Linked DNA regions of Arabidopsis thaliana. The protein of the gene in region 1 interacts with the protein of each later gene in a pairwise test. Each region holds a gene or a part of one and is shown in the gene's direction. Other genes may lie near its edges.

What was found.
Region 2: the proteins of AOX1A (region 1) and ATB' GAMMA interact in a two-hybrid assay, tested with the Arabidopsis thaliana proteins (one study listed by BioGRID).

The regions. Positions count from the first base shown.
Region 1 is NC_003074.8:7,902,742-7,910,894, forward strand, and holds AOX1A (alternative oxidase 1A), read left to right. Parts: upstream 1-3,779; 5' UTR 3,780-4,148; coding exon 4,149-4,535; intron 4,536-4,617; coding exon 4,618-4,746; intron 4,747-5,046; coding exon 5,047-5,535; intron 5,536-5,615; coding exon 5,616-5,675; 3' UTR 5,676-6,005; downstream 6,006-8,153. Other genes in the region: AT3G22350 (F-box and associated interaction domains-containing protein), read left to right, coding at 1-300; AOX1B (alternative oxidase 1B), read left to right, coding at 1,415-1,714, 1,798-1,926, 2,009-2,497, 2,584-2,643. UniProt on the Arabidopsis thaliana protein: Catalyzes the cyanide-resistant oxidation of ubiquinol and the reduction of molecular oxygen to water, but does not translocate protons and consequently is not linked to oxidative phosphorylation.
Region 2 is NC_003075.7:8,813,331-8,822,137, forward strand, and holds ATB' GAMMA (Protein phosphatase 2A regulatory B subunit family protein), read left to right. Parts: upstream 1-3,591; 5' UTR 3,592-3,628; intron 3,629-3,700; exon of another isoform or gene 3,701-3,716; 5' UTR 3,717-4,100; exon of another isoform or gene 4,101-4,233; 5' UTR 4,234-4,376; coding exon 4,377-5,567; coding exon of another isoform or gene 5,568-5,641; coding exon 5,642-6,019; 3' UTR 6,020-6,397; downstream 6,398-8,807. Other genes in the region: BIA1 (HXXXD-type acyl-transferase family protein), read right to left, coding at 1-98; PUX5 (serine/threonine protein phosphatase 2A 55 kDa regulatory subunit B prime gamma), read left to right, coding at 1,538-2,034, 2,281-2,572, 2,690-2,785, 2,886-3,266; RTL1 (RNAse II-like 1), read left to right, coding at 8,354-8,807.

The DNA.
Region 1 (8,153 bases):
GCTTTGTTGTGGAGCAAATCCTTTATAGTGGATTTACCCATTGGCGGTCATTGTTCTGAGGTTTTCGCGAGTCTTTTAATCAACGAGGAGAAGAAAGTGGCCTTGTGTTGTAATTTAGATTTCGAGACCGACGGGAACTTGATATTCACTATTGGAGAAGACAATAAATATTACTCAGAAATCCCTTATGCTACAAACAAGCCATGGTGGTTATGTAGATTTTCTGAAAAATTTACAAAAAAATGGTGGTGGTTTCCATTTATTTACAATTATGTTCCAAGTTTGGTTCAAATCTTGTAAGAGAGATAGAGAGTAAAAAAGAGAAGAAAAAAAACTAGTCGATAAAAATAAGATACACTAGTCCTCTCTCATTTGTTTTCCCTTTGGTTGAATAATTTAATGAAAGTTTTTTGGTAGTTTATTCTTTTTCTTCGTGTTGTATAGTTTATGATTCTTACCTTTGAGAGCCTGCTCTAGGCTGGATTTCAGAAACAAATGACAATCATCTTGTTATCACTCTGTCTGGAGAGGTTTCGATCATCGCTAGCGGAATCAAAAACCCGAGGATATCCTACTTCGACATCGTCAAGATGGATTCAAAATCATCAAATTGGGGGGAAAATCGATTTTATTGCGAACATTTTGGGTAAATTTTAGTAATGATCAGTTTCATAGATACACTGAGATTCGTCTATATTGTTTGAATGGTGGCGGCGGTCGGGATGGACAAATCCACTCAGCAGTTTAGTTTGCTCTATTTTTAGGATGGATAACAAACCGATGTAGATCAACTCTATTTGTATATATAAGCACAATTCTATGAATGGTAAATAACTACAGACACAATTTATGAATGGTAACTAAATATCGGTCAAGTCCATAAACGGATTTGTCCGCCTTAACCGCTGCAACCATTCAGACCCTATGGTTTGAAACAAGTAATTGCGTCCATGATATTCAAACCGAGAAGGTTGTCCAATGGTTTCAACAGTTTGCGACACAGTTATTGTTAGATACATCAAAGAAACTATAAGACACTACACAAATACGTCTCTGTTTTGGAACAGAGGATTTTTTTAACTTTTTAATTATATTAATCTAATTAATCAAAACATGAATTAAAACGGCTGACGAATATCACCAGCCAAGTCTATAGAAAAAAGATTATTACTACAAGCTTTTACTTAAAAAATGTCCACAGTTTTTGAGCATAAACTTGCGGATTAGTTTGTCTTTTCGTGTGCTACAAGTCTTTTAGTCAAATTAGACGAATTTTACGCTTTCTTGTATACATTGATCCTAGAGTTCCGTAATTGCTATAAATAGATGTCAGTTTAGGAGTTACCAAATGCAAAAAAACAAAAAAAAAACACTATCATTAATCAAGTTCCACTGTTCATTTTCGATCTGCATAATGATGATGAGTCGTCGCTATGGAGCCAAGCTAATGGAAACTGCTGTGACTCACAGCCATCTTTTGAATCCTAGGGTTCCTCTCGTGACGGAAAATATTAGGGTTCCGGCGATGGGAGTCGTGAGAGTTTTCAGCAAGATGACATTTGAGAAGAAGAAAACTACGGAGGAGAAAGGATCTAGCGGTGGCAAGGCTGATCAAGGTAACAAAGGGGAGCAATTAATCGTTAGCTACTGGGGAGTGAAGCCGATGAAGATCACCAAAGAAGATGGAACTGAATGGAAATGGAGTTGCTTTAGGGTACATTACATCTTTGGTATTATATTAGAACTCTGTGGTCGATTTATATGTATGATTTGAGTTTTTGTGTGGAATAACTGTAGCCATGGGAGACATATAAATCAGATCTGACTATAGATTTGAAGAAGCATCATGTTCCATCGACTTTACCGGACAAACTAGCTTATTGGACCGTGAAATCTCTTCGATGGCCTACCGATCTTTTCTTCCAGGTGACAGTCTTAGCTTTCTATGGTTTTGTCATTTCAAATGCTTTGTATGTTTGGACTAATCTTGCCAACGAGTTAACCGCAGAGGCGGTACGGATGCAGAGCAATGATGCTAGAAACGGTTGCAGCGGTTCCAGGAATGGTTGGAGGGATGTTAGTACACTGCAAATCGCTTCGACGGTTTGAACAAAGCGGTGGTTGGATCAAAGCCCTACTTGAAGAAGCAGAGAACGAGAGAATGCATTTAATGACATTCATGGAAGTCGCGAAACCTAATTGGTACGAACGAGCTCTTGTGATTGCCGTTCAAGGCATTTTCTTCAATGCTTATTTCCTTGGATACCTAATTTCTCCCAAATTTGCTCATCGTATGGTTGGATACCTTGAGGAAGAAGCAATCCACTCTTACACTGAGTTTCTTAAAGAACTCGATAATGGTAACATCGAAAATGTGCCTGCACCGGCTATTGCCATTGATTACTGGAGACTTGAAGCTGATGCGACGCTTCGTGATGTCGTCATGGTGGTCCGTGCTGATGAAGCGCATCACCGTGATGTTAACCACTATGCATCCGTAAGTAGTGTGAATTGTATTATAGGAAACTTACTTATGTTTAAAAGATGATTAGATTGTTTTCATGGTTTTAATAAAAATTGCAGGATATTCATTACCAAGGTCGTGAGCTAAAAGAAGCTCCAGCTCCCATTGGATATCATTGAATCTGAAGAGCTTCTAGCTTTGTTTTGTCGTTTTGATACGGTCCAGTTTTGTTTTCCTTGTTCCTAAATGGGCTTTAATGGGTATTTGTTAAAATTTAGTGGGCCTTAGAGTAAGCTTATTTGTGCTTGCTTTCTTTTTGCTTCATAAAAGAGTGTTTTGTTTGTTTTCATTCTCCTAATAAATCAGTGCTTACATGATATGTTTACATATACACTTAGGCTAGAAATAAAACTTTACAAACCCAAGGCTTTGAAGTTTGAATATAACCATAGATATGTCCATTAAACCCCACTAAAATGAAGTAGGCTTGAATCCATCATATATAAATGTTAAATTAATAGGGGTGGGAAAAAAAACGAAAACCGAAAAACCGAACCGTACCAAACCAAAACAAATGGTTTGGTTTGGTTATGGTTTTGTATAAAAACCCATTTGATTGTAATTTTTATTTAAGTTTTGGTTTAGGTTTGGTTTGATTAAAAACCGTAAAACCGAACGTTTTTTTTGTTTTTGATTTAAATTAAAAATAATTGTATATATATATATATAATGTTCATTTGATAACATGATATCTATCAAACTATCGAAAAACAAAACCCTAACTGTAACCTAAACTAAAATTCTATATAAATTACATGCCGTCATTTAGGATTTGAGTTTACAAATTAGATTTTGATTTTATTTATGCATCACACTTATAATTTTTTTTGGTAAAAACATGAAAAAACCGGAACCAAACCGGAACCGATCCGAACCAAAATACATATGGTTTTTAAATGGTTTTAATTTTTTAAAACCAAAAACTGTAAAACTGTTAAAACCGAACCGTAACCAAACCGAATTTTATATGGTTTTTATATGGTTTTACTTTTCTTAAAATCGAAAAACCGTAAAACCTAAAACCGAAACGAAACCAAACCGAAAAACTGAACACCCAGCCCTTAAATATAATGAAAATCGAATAAATTTGTTTGAAAGAATCGAACAAAATTGACAATAAAATCTAATTAGGACTATTTTCGTCTAATTTTGACTTAGTTGAAACAGAATATTAGCAAAAATACTAAAACACCACAACGCGTAATAATACCCACACACGATATCATTAAATTTGACCAATAAGAATCTAGCTCTTGGCGACCACGCAAGTATCTTCCATCTTGCTCTCCAAGAAAAATCTACACCGGCTTTAAATTTACATAAACACCCTCAGTCAAAGAAAAGTCGTAAACATAGTCTCTCTCATGACCACAAGGGTAACACAGTCATCCTAAATATAAACCACACAAGAAAACTGTTATACTTTATACACGTGTCATAGTCTCATTACATCTACGTGAAGAGTTTCGATCATCAACCGTTCGTTTTCTTACTATATAAACCTTGCTCGAGACCTGCGTGTGAAGCGTATAAAGACGACAAAGTAAACCAAAAAAAAAAAGAGTTCTCCTACAATTTTCCTAAATTCTTGGATTTGAGATTTCACTTTTTCCGATTTGAAACAATGATGATAACTCGCGGTGGAGCCAAGGCGGCGAAATCGCTGTTAGTGGCGGCTGGACCACGTTTGTTCTCGACGGTCCGTACGGTTTCGTCTCACGAGGCTTTATCAGCAAGCCATATTTTGAAGCCTGGTGTTACATCTGCTTGGATATGGACTAGAGCTCCGACGATTGGAGGTATGAGATTCGCTAGCACGATCACTCTGGGAGAGAAAACTCCGATGAAGGAGGAGGACGCGAATCAGAAGAAAACAGAGAACGAATCCACCGGTGGAGACGCCGCCGGAGGTAATAACAAGGGAGATAAAGGAATCGCGAGCTATTGGGGTGTTGAACCTAATAAGATTACTAAAGAAGATGGTTCTGAATGGAAGTGGAACTGTTTCAGGGTACGTTATAGCTAGATTCGTATACAGTGTTGTTCTTCGTTGATCTGTGTAAATTTGTTGAAATTTCTTTGGATTTTTGCAGCCATGGGAAACGTATAAAGCTGATATAACGATAGATCTGAAGAAGCATCATGTTCCAACGACGTTTCTTGATAGAATAGCTTATTGGACTGTTAAATCTCTTCGTTGGCCTACCGATTTGTTCTTCCAGGTACTGTTCTTCTTCTTCTTCTCCCATGGAAAATTTCTTTACATTTTTTGCCAATTTTATGATATGGAAATGATCCAAATCTGATATCGTCATTGATTACGTGTAACCTTAAATATTTTATTTCATTCTTTTTATAGCAACTAGTCAATATTTTGTTTGATTATTTTGGAATATATGTGTTTATTATATTAATCACTTCGTTAGTGCTTTGGATTCTTGGTTAATTGTTGGTTAATTATCATTATGTAATGAATTATTGGTTAATTGTTGGTCTGATTGTGATATTGTGAATTAAAACAGAGGAGATATGGATGTCGAGCTATGATGCTTGAAACTGTAGCAGCAGTACCTGGAATGGTTGGAGGAATGTTACTACACTGCAAATCGCTTCGACGTTTTGAGCAAAGTGGAGGATGGATTAAGGCTCTTCTTGAGGAAGCAGAGAATGAGAGAATGCATCTTATGACATTCATGGAAGTCGCGAAACCGAAATGGTACGAGAGAGCGCTCGTGATCACTGTGCAAGGAGTCTTCTTCAACGCTTATTTCCTTGGTTACTTAATCTCTCCCAAGTTTGCTCATCGTATGGTTGGGTACCTTGAAGAAGAAGCGATCCATTCTTATACTGAGTTTCTCAAGGAACTTGACAAAGGTAACATTGAGAATGTTCCTGCTCCGGCTATTGCTATTGATTACTGGAGGCTTCCTGCTGATGCGACACTTCGTGATGTTGTGATGGTTGTTCGTGCTGACGAGGCTCATCACCGTGATGTAAACCATTTTGCATCTGTAAGTATATTATTTGCTTGAGACTAAATTCTAAAGCTTAAAATCGTGTGTTACTGATCAATTATGGTTTTACTTTGTAGGATATTCACTACCAAGGTCGTGAACTAAAGGAAGCTCCAGCTCCAATTGGGTATCATTGATTCGATTAAAAGAAGAGCTTTTTCTCAAGTTTAAAACTTTGTTCTAAAGAATTTAAGTTCTTTGACTTGTATATACATCATCACCTCTGCTTAAGCCATACTTGGATTCGGCTTTCTTTGAATGTTGCTACGAATGTTCTGATTTCTTCTTTACTTTTCCTGTCAATGGGCTTTTGGGCTTATCTTTTGCTATTGTATGGCCTTGCTATTTAGAATGAGAGTAATAGTTTGTAGAAGCTGCTACTAAATCATGTAAAGATACCATTGATATCATCATAACTATTCAATTTCATATGGAAATCAATTAATATACCATCTACATTGACAAAATTACAACTTTTCTTTTCCTGATTACACATGAAACAAAAGAAAGAAAAAGAGGACCCAATGGATGTGGATCCTTTATTTATGGCATGGGGCTATATTTTCTTTCAGGGCCCTCAAAGCTTTCAAATATAAAGCAAAAAAAAAAAAACAAGAAGAGAAAACAGTCAATTGTAATAGAGAAAGTATAATCAAACAATATTATAATTTGTTGTGATTATGTGTACATAACCACTTTCTTTCAAACGTATCAGAGACTCTCTCTTATGCCACCAAATTAATTGTATAGTTGTGTCCATTATAAAAAAATGGGATCTCTCTATCATGCCTATTGTTTTCAATCTATCATGGCAAGTTTAGGTCAAAGTAATAGCAAATCGCCATTACCAAAAACCTTAATTATTATTTCTTTCCATATTTTATATCAGCAAAATGGTTTTAGCATAAGCAAAAAAAGGCTTCCACATACCTCATCTCTCATCAATTATTTAAACCGCAAATAATAAATTATATCTCACACTAAATGTTGGAATAAAATATTTTGACTTTTCTTTATCTAAATACATATCGAATTATAGGTATAATAAATACAGAAATATACAAATACGTCCTAATCAGTTGCCTAGCCTTCTATCAACTGTTTCTAATATAAAGTAATGTTTATAACTTCAACGATTAATCTAGTCTCATAACAGTATAAAATATTATAATTTGTGGCAATGTGTACTTTCTTTCTTGCATTTTCTTAGATTTGAAATGATAATGATTATAATAATGAATAAACAGTCATGGTGCCATGTTCGCTGTATATTATTTTAAAGACCTCTATATGATTTATCCAATAAACTATATGATCATACGATTAAAATACCAAGAGCTCACAATTTTCGATATGCCTTAGTGCGTTAATGAAGGGAATTTTTTACACATATAAACGTATCTTCGCATACGACAAACAATTATAAAATAGTAGTACAAAATATGTTTAATACTATTTGTGTTTCTTTTTAATTGAAAACCATTCGAATTTTAAACCAAACAAAATAATCGCTTTATGTAATGTTTAATGGTCTGATTGAGAAATTTTCCTCTGACGGCTAGGGTTAAGCGGACGATCAATACTATTGCCACGTTGGCAAAAAGCAATAACTCGAAAAGTCACCACGTGTCATCTACATAGTCAATCAGTTAATTTTCTTTTTATTCGTCGACAAGTTAAGTTAAGAAAAAGAGAGCATTCCGACAGATTTATTTGGCGGGACTCTAAACTCCGACGTGGCATTTTCTTTGCTTTAGAATTCTTTTCACTGTCGTAAAAAGTCCTTTTGGTGACTACTCATCTCAAAAGATAACGTAATCCAACCAATCTCAACTTGCCACCTAAGAATAATTCGGGGCTGTTACATTTAATATTCGTGAACGGCCGTGAGTTTAGTTTTCTATGGATATTTAAGCTAAAAGAGTAGCTTCGACAAAAACAAGATCCGAGCCGACGAATAAGAGATAGGAGATCCTCCAGGTGGCATTTTAGTAATTAACCACGTGGAAATAGACTGAAACCACGTGGATATTTTAGAATTTTGTTGTGCACGCGCTTTGTAGGCGCGTAACGTTAAAAATGTGAAATCTACTGGTTAGAGTTACTCCACTGTTATTAATTATTAGTAAGAGTTATGAATCCTGACCATTGACCAAAGATTGTTGGTGTTTTCAAATTCAATTAATTACACAAAATCTATATTTTACGTGGGGCCTAATCCATGTCACTATCATTCTTATATTTAACTATAATCACTAAATTTATGTATTATTTTAAATAAATATAGAGTATTAAACATTTGAAAATACTGTTATTGGGTTATGAAGTAAAAATAGAAATCCTACTGTATTCCTAGTTTCCTTTTATATTCCCACGAACGATTTTGCTGTATGTACTCGTATGTATCTTACGAAGTGACGTTTTACACCATGTCAGAATATGTTAACAGTGGTATTAAATAGAAATAAAACTGTACTTTAATTTAGTTATTTTTGTTAATTAAAATATTAATATTTAAATACAATATCCTATATTCTAATTAGTTTACAAAAAAAGTCAAAGTTAACACTTTTGCTTAACTGTAATTTTATCTTTTCAATATGTTAAAATTATTA
Region 2 (8,807 bases), on another chromosome or scaffold:
CAATAGAGATCAAGGATAGAGAGCTGAAGGCGATCACGAGGTGATGGTGAAGCAGGTTTGATCACTTCTTTCCCGGTCACCTCTAGCTTCGCTTCCATCGTCTTCCTTTAAAAGTCAACGGGTTACAAGATTGAAGTATTGAGGAAACTTTGACAAGAGGAGAAGATGGAAGAGACAAATGGATCAGAGATGTGTCCTTTTAAACTGGTAGTTGAATCGTTGATACAAGTTTCAACTCCTATCCATGTGTCCACACTAGGAACAAAATTTAATTTAAGAAAAAATAAAGTCTGCTAACAATGTTTATTTAATTCATTCATATTAGTAAATTAAATAAAACTTCAAATGCTTAAAATAGACGACTATGTAATATTTAATTGGTGATAGTAATATAATTCGACTTCTAAACAAACAAAAAAAAACATATATTGAAGATTGATTTAATTGTATTTAAAATTTTAGAGAGCGTTTATGAATTATAAAAGGGGAAATAATTTTGAAATATATAGTTATATATATAGAAATAAAATAAAAAATCAGAAAGAAAATATAAACGTTATGAGAAAGAAAAAAGAGCAAATGATAGTGGCATATACCAACTGGTAAAACTTCTAAGAGGATTGTTTGTTAAAAGTCTCACATCGAATATGAGACTGAGCCCTAGTCCAAAAATTACTAAAATGGTCAAAATGATTTGTTCAAAAAGGGGGTATGGAACCTCACTAAAATAATAGTGGTTGCATTTTAGTAAGTGAGGTTAGACTAATGGTTGAATTTTAGTAAGCCAAAAACTTTCCATCAGTAATTGCTAATTGGATCAACTAAATGCCATCACACAAAGAAACTATTGCTGAAATTGAATATTGATATTATCAAATTTTGGTATATCTCCAACAACCATAGTCCTCAACAAACATAGAGTAAGTCTAGTTCCTAAATTTTCAATATCTAGCTGTTTTTTTCTTTTCAATATCCAACTTAGTAAACACATTGTTCAGAAACACGCCAAAAAAAAAAATCAACACATCTCAAACCATCATTATCCAGAAGGGTACAGTAAATCCAGTTCCTAGTTTTCGATTTCTAACTTCAAAAATGCTCTCTTTCTACATACACTTTTTTACAAGTCTCTATCACAGAATCGGAACATGTGGATAGAGCAATGGTTAGTAGACTCTTTTCCCCGACCACTCTTTGACGTTCCTCGATAAATCCGAACCTAATGATCAATGAACACGACGAGTCATTTATACAAAGGCAACAACAAAATGTGGTTTCTTCTCAGTTTGCTTCCTTGAAAATTTAGCTGTTATATACTAAAAGGCCTTTTGTAAGGCTAAAAGGCCAAGCCTTTGGGCCCATTAACATCACCGTTTATTCGAAACGTATGTTGTTAAGACTTGAGAGAAGTTTGACGGTGAAAAAAGGAAAATATTTACATATATATAGTAAAATTAAAATAGTAGAAAGAAAAAAATCAGAAAGCTACGAAAGAAAAAAAAAACAATCTAGCAACAGAAGAAGCTTCGAGAAGACGATGGCGACGGAGACGAACGAGAATCTGATAAACTCCTTCATCGAGATCACTTCTTCATCAAGAGAAGAAGCTAATTTCTTCCTCGAAAGTCACACTTGGAATCTAGACGCTGCCGTTTCAACTTTCCTCGATAACGATGCCGCCGCAGCCGCCGAACCAAACCCTACCGGGCCACCACCACCTTCTTCTACTATTGCCGGTGCACAATCTCCTTCTCAATCTCACTCTCCCGATTACACTCCGTCTGAAACCTCTCCCTCTCCTTCCCGATCACGATCTGCTTCTCCGTCTTCTCGCGCTGCTCCCTACGGTCTCCGATCGAGAGGCGGTGCTGGAGAGAATAAAGAAACTGAGAATCCGTCGGGAATTCGGAGTTCTAGGAGTCGTCAACACGCTGGGAATATCCGTACATTCGCCGATCTGAACCGTTCTCCGGCTGATGGCGAGGGCAGTGATTCGGATGAAGCTAATGAGTATTATACCGGTGGACAAAAGAGGTACAATTTTCAACAGATCTGATCATAGTTTGGAAAATACTTAGATGATAATACTGTTGAGAAAGTGAATTAGGGCAACATGATCATGAACTTGAGCAATGTGCGTAGATCAATGATAGTTTAGGGATTGACCATATCTTGTGTATGTAGCTGAATTGTCTTTCTTGAAATTCTTATATAGCTGGAGAAAGTGTATGTTTGTGTCGCTAATAGAGTTTTGTTTTTGGATTGTGTAATGTGTTGTAGTGGGATGATGGTACAAGATCCTAAGAAAGTGAAAGATGTTGATGAACTTTTTGACCAAGCTAGGCAGTCAGCTGTAGACAGACCTGTTGAACCATCAAGATCAGCTTCTACAAGCTTCACTGGAGCTGCGCGTTTGTTGTCTGGTGAAGCTGTTTCGTCTTCTCCTCAGCAACAACAGCAAGAGCAGCCTCAAAGGATTATGCACACCATCACTTTCTGGTTGAATGGTTTCACTGTTAATGATGGTCCGTTAAGAGGGTTCAGTGACCCTGAAAACGCAGCCTTTATGAATGTAATGTCCAGATTTTCTCTAATTAGTAACTACAATTCCATGGAAATCAAGCTTGATACTTGTCTTTACTCACTTGGATAGTCTTTGAATCCCTAATATATATGTTGTCTTTTGCAGAGCATCTCAAGGTCAGAGTGCCCCAGCGAACTCGAACCAGCAGATAAGAAGATCCCTGTTCATGTCGATCTGGTCAGGCGTGGAGAAAATTTCACCGTAAGTCTCATTCCCATCTATCAATAATAATCTCGTTAACCTATTCTCTGGAGAAGCCACTCATAGGATTCTTTTAACGTCTGTATCTTTTGACTCACAGGAACCACCAAAGCCTAAAAATCCATTCCAAGGTGTAGGAAGAACCCTAGGAGCCAGCGGATCTGGTTCAAGTTCAGCACCACAAGCTTCATCTGCCCCAATGAACGTAGCACCAGCACCATCAAGAGGGCTAGTTGTAGATCCAGCAGCACCGACAACCTCTATCCAGCTCAGATTAGCAGACGGAACACGCCTTGTCTCCAGGTTCAACAACCACCACACTGTCAGAGATGTACGTGGGTTTATCGACGCTTCTAGACCCGGTGGCTCCAAAGAGTACCAGTTGCTAACCATGGGGTTCCCTCCTAAACAATTGACAGAATTGGACCAAACCATCGAGCAAGCTGGTATAGCTAATGCCGTCGTCATCCAGAAATTCTAGACTTACATAACTCATCCCTTCGATTTATGTCTCTCTTTTTTTTTTTTTGCTTTTGTGTTTTTGAACCTGATCGTTGACTTTAGTCTCTAACTATCTGGTCAACGCTCTAGAGGCTTTGGATTTTCGTAGATTTATCAAACTCTTTTCTTCAGATTTATTAATAACTTTAGCAGTTTAGCTTTTGCATAATTTATTTATTTCTTCAATCGACTAGCTACTACCATATCTTTTAGAAAGAATAATCGAAAAAATATTATCCAATGAGCAAATTACTTATATCCTTGGACTCGTGAATTGACGAATTGACCAGCTTCTGCATAAATTCCACACACATACGCTCTCCTAATATCAGGGACATAATGGTAATTAACGTACCTGCCCATCTGTCATTTTCCTTGTTCTCTTCAAAACCTTTTTTTTGGAAAATTAATTTTATTTTTTTGTAAACAGTTCTATAATGTCTGTTATTCGGAATCCAAAGAAAGCCAGAGATATTGAGATTTACAGTGAAAATCTACAGAGGAAGAGATAGCGAAGGACAATTATTAATTTATTTTCCTATTTTAGTTTTCATTACAACCTTAATCTTCGTGTTGTGTGTTCTGTAACTTCCCAGATTTTTTTTTTCTCTTTGCTGGGCTTCGTTGCCTTTTCCCCTTTTTTTCTCTTTCCTCTGCTCTCGATTCAGTTTAGGGCGAGAAAAAGTAGCTGTTTTTACAGGGTTTATCACAAAGATCCTTCCTTTTTTACTTGAAGCTCGCCATTTTCTTAGGGTTTCTCTTGATTTCATTCATCTCCAGTGCCCAGATCTCTCTCTCTACTCATCTGCCATTTGTAAGCTCCTCTTCTTCCTCCTCTCTCCAAAGTTTACATTTTGTTGTTTTCTCTGGATCTTCTTAAGCTAATCTTTGATTCTGTTTATGAGATTGTGTTTCCGATTATGAATTTAGGCTTTGTCTACATGCAGGGCTGTGTTCAATGATTAGGGTTTTGATTTAGAACCAAAGCTTTTGGGTTTTACTGGTTTAGTTTAGGCTTGTTGCGAAGTAGAGAAAAAAAGGGAAGGGTTTTGGCCCTTTTGTGGGGAGATAATTTAGGGTTTCTGTAATTATGATCAAACAGATATTTGGGAAATTGCCCAGAAAACCTTCAAAATCTTCGCATAATGACTCGAATCCAAACGGAGAAGGTGGGGTTAATTCATATTACATTCCCAATTCGGGTATTAGTAGTATCTCGAAGCCTTCTTCGAAATCATCCGCATCGAATTCGAATGGAGCAAATGGAACTGTTATTGCTCCTTCTTCAACGAGCTCTAACAGAACCAATCAAGTCAATGGAGTTTATGAAGCATTGCCAAGCTTTAGAGATGTTCCTACCTCGGAGAAACCTAATCTGTTTATCAAGAAGTTGAGTATGTGTTGCGTTGTGTTCGACTTCAATGATCCGTCGAAGAATCTGAGAGAGAAAGAGATAAAGAGACAGACTTTGCTTGAGCTTGTTGATTATATTGCAACGGTTTCTACAAAGTTGAGTGATGCTGCAATGCAAGAGATTGCGAAAGTGGCTGTTGTTAATCTTTTCAGGACGTTTCCTTCTGCGAATCACGAGAGTAAGATTCTCGAAACGCTTGATGTGGATGATGAGGAACCTGCTTTAGAGCCGGCTTGGCCTCATCTTCAAGTTGTCTATGAGCTTCTTCTTAGATTTGTGGCCTCGCCTATGACTGATGCAAAGCTTGCAAAGAGATATATTGACCATTCATTTGTCTTGAAGCTCTTGGATTTGTTTGACTCTGAAGACCAGAGAGAGAGGGAATATCTAAAGACCATTCTTCATCGGATATACGGGAAATTCATGGTGCACCGACCCTTTATCAGAAAGGCGATCAACAATATCTTCTACAGATTCATTTTTGAAACCGAAAAGCATAACGGTATTGCAGAGTTGCTTGAGATACTAGGAAGTATAATCAACGGTTTCGCTTTACCGTTAAAAGAAGAGCATAAGCTCTTCCTAATCCGGGCATTGATTCCACTCCACAGACCTAAATGTGCATCTGCTTATCATCAACAGCTTTCTTATTGCATTGTTCAGTTTGTAGAGAAAGACTTCAAGCTTGCTGATACGGTCATTAGAGGACTTCTAAAGTATTGGCCTGTGACTAATAGTTCAAAGGAAGTTATGTTTCTTGGAGAGTTGGAAGAAGTTTTGGAAGCAACTCAAGCAGCTGAGTTTCAGCGATGTATGGTTCCTTTATTTCGTCAAATCGCTAGATGCCTCAACAGTTCACATTTTCAGGTGCGACTCTCGATAAGTTGTTCATATAGTCTCGCAATTTTGCAGGTTATATTCAAAGTTGCTTCTTTTGTCAGGTGGCTGAAAGGGCTCTATTTCTATGGAACAACGATCACATAAGAAACCTGATTACTCAAAACCATAAAGTGATAATGCCCATTGTGTTCCCGGCTATGGAGAGAAACACACGGGGGCATTGGAACCAAGCAGTTCAGAGTCTGACTTTGAATGTGAGAAAGGTAATGGCAGAGACAGACCAAATTCTGTTTGATGAATGCTTAGCCAAGTTCCAAGAAGATGAAGCGAATGAAACCGAGGTTGTAGCCAAACGAGAAGCAACATGGAAGCTTTTGGAAGAGTTAGCAGCTTCGAAATCCGTAAGCAACGAGGCAGTGCTCGTCCCCCGATTTTCATCTTCAGTTACTCTTGCAACCGGTAAAACTTCGGGTAGTTGAACACTTTCTGCTCTCTATCACCGAGACATACTTTCAAACAATCCAGCAGAATTGTATCGATCCGTTCGAGCATCAGGATCAGTCCTTGAAGAAGATTAAGCACGATGATTAAGAAGGGCAATATCATCAGTGAATACTTAATTATAACATTTTTTTCAGGTTTATGGAATCATGGGTTCAATTGTTTGTTGCTTCTGATCCTTTTTTTTTCTTACTCAGCTCTTAGTTGAATAACAATCTGAGGTGTAAGAAATATGGCTTATAGATATAGTTCTTGAGAGGACGACTAAACAATTATTCGTATTTGTATTGTGGAATGAATTGTATTTTATGCTTTGAAGTTCATTAATTTAGCTCCCCTACTAACCAAATCATAACCGAAGTTATCGAATCTCGGTTTGGTTCGGTATATATGCAACGGCATTTTCGTAAACAAGTCATGTTTTTTTTCGTGTGAGTTTTAGAAAATACAAAAATCATATATAACACTAGATTTTAATTTAAAGTTAGTATAATTTTTTTTTTGCAAATTGTATCTATCTATAATATATTTTTATTTTATAGTTTACAATTGTTATTAAGTAACGTCCTGCCAAACCCGTCCCGCCAAACCTGTCCTGTAAAAAAATCATTTATTTATATTAATATTGATCTTATTTATGATATGTTTATAAATCATTCTCTAAATATTTTTGTCGATGCAGGACATTGAACCCACACATTGTTTGCCAATTGGTTAATATATGTTCATTTTTAAAATTTTGAATCATAAAATGTGACAGAAAAAATTAAGATTTTTTTAAACTCTATATATTATATAATGATGTTAAAAAATTGTGATATATCAAACTTTTTATAAGTTTAAATATTAATAATGTTTTATAAATTTTAAATATATAAATAATAATATTTAAAAAATTAATATTTTTGCTTATAAGGTAATGACATAATAACTCTAAAAGCAAGGATTTAGAAGATTTAAATCTTTAATTAAATATTTTCATTAATAAATAATTAATGTCAGTGACATGACATTGTAAATAAGTTTAAATACAAAATTTATTTATTTAAACAAAAAACGGTTAGTAAGAATAATATTTATTTAACAAAAAACTTTGTTTTAAAATATTGTTAACAAATGTCTATGCTAATTTTAAGGGATTGATTTGAATTTTGTTGGGATTAAATTTGATTGATAATGTGATTGACTATTTAAATCAAAAATTTAAAATAAAATTAATTATTTTGGAAAAAAGATTTAATGCTAATGGCATTAGATTGTAAATAAGTTCAAGTCCAGGATTTATTTGCTAAAATGGTTGCAAAAATGTATATATAGATAGTGTAAAAATAAATTGAATTACCGATGTATTTTTAAAAAAAATCGTGAAATCTAATTTATTTACGGAAAAATATTACCACATTATTTTTGCAAATATTGTGTATGGTAATGAATCCAATCCATTATTCTAATTTGTTCTTAGTCAATGAGTGGTATTCAATTTCATTGTCCCGGTCCCACGGACTGACTACTCAGCAACCCAATCTTACAAAGTCAAAGTCAACTTTTATTTTGTTTCTCTTTTTTTCCGTTTCCATCCCAAATTCATTTCTTTATAAATTATTTATTCCTAAAAGGATTTGTAAATTAACCTAATTTGCATTTCAAAATATTTTTATCTATTTTAGTATTAAATTGGAATAATTGTTATTTTTGTATTAAAAAAACACTAATATCCAAAATTGTTATATTGCTTTTTATTTTGCTTTTTTCTATTTTTAATTTCTATTTTTTAATAGCATCGCCGTATCGTCGCATCGATACTCGGATTTAGTAAATAAGTGTTTTTTAGCAAGAGTTTATGCAAGTCCGCTTCGATTAAAGTATCTAAACCAAAATCCAAACACGTGGGAGTTTCCGTTTTAATTTCTAGTTATATTATACCCTTCGTTATTTAAGATATAAAACAGCAATTTATTATCACTAATTGATAAAACCTTCATTGCAAATATAAACTAGATTTTAAAAATAAAATTTGACTTTTAAAATACAATGTAATATTATTAATGATATAAAAACAAAAAACCTAAAATGGTATTGAAGTGTCAAACAGAGGAAGTATATGATATATATGTAATTAACTAGTCAAAATCTGCTGTGATAACGACCAATTCTAAACAATTATAAAATCTTCTAAAAATTAATGAGAATCTACTATATTTAATAACTAAAATAATAGAAGGATGACAATTGACAACTATAACAATATTGAAGAAGTCATACCAAATATATTAAGACGTGTATAAAAAGGGTATCATAACCGAAGACTTAAGATGAACAAGACACAAACACAACAGAAACTTAACCAAAGACATATCTCTCTCTCCTCAAACCCACCTCTTGTCTCTATGGGATCGCAACTCTCAAACGCAATCGACGGTAAAGATAACACCAAAACCATCGGATCAGCGGATCCGGACCAGCTTATGGAGATCGAATCCTTGGAGAAGATCTTAAATTACAAGTTCAAAGACAAGAGTTTGTTGCTGAAAGCGTTCACAGACGCTAGTTACGTTGATGACAAGAGTGAATCGTACGAACTCCTAGAACTTTTAGGAGATTCGATCCTAAATATGGGTATAATCTATGATTTTATTAAGCTCTACCCTAAAGAAGCACCTGGTCCGTTGACCAAGCTCCGAGCCGTCAACGTAGATACCGAGAAATTGGCACGGGTCGCTGTAAATCACCAACTCTATAGCTATCTCCGTCATAAGAAACCCTTGC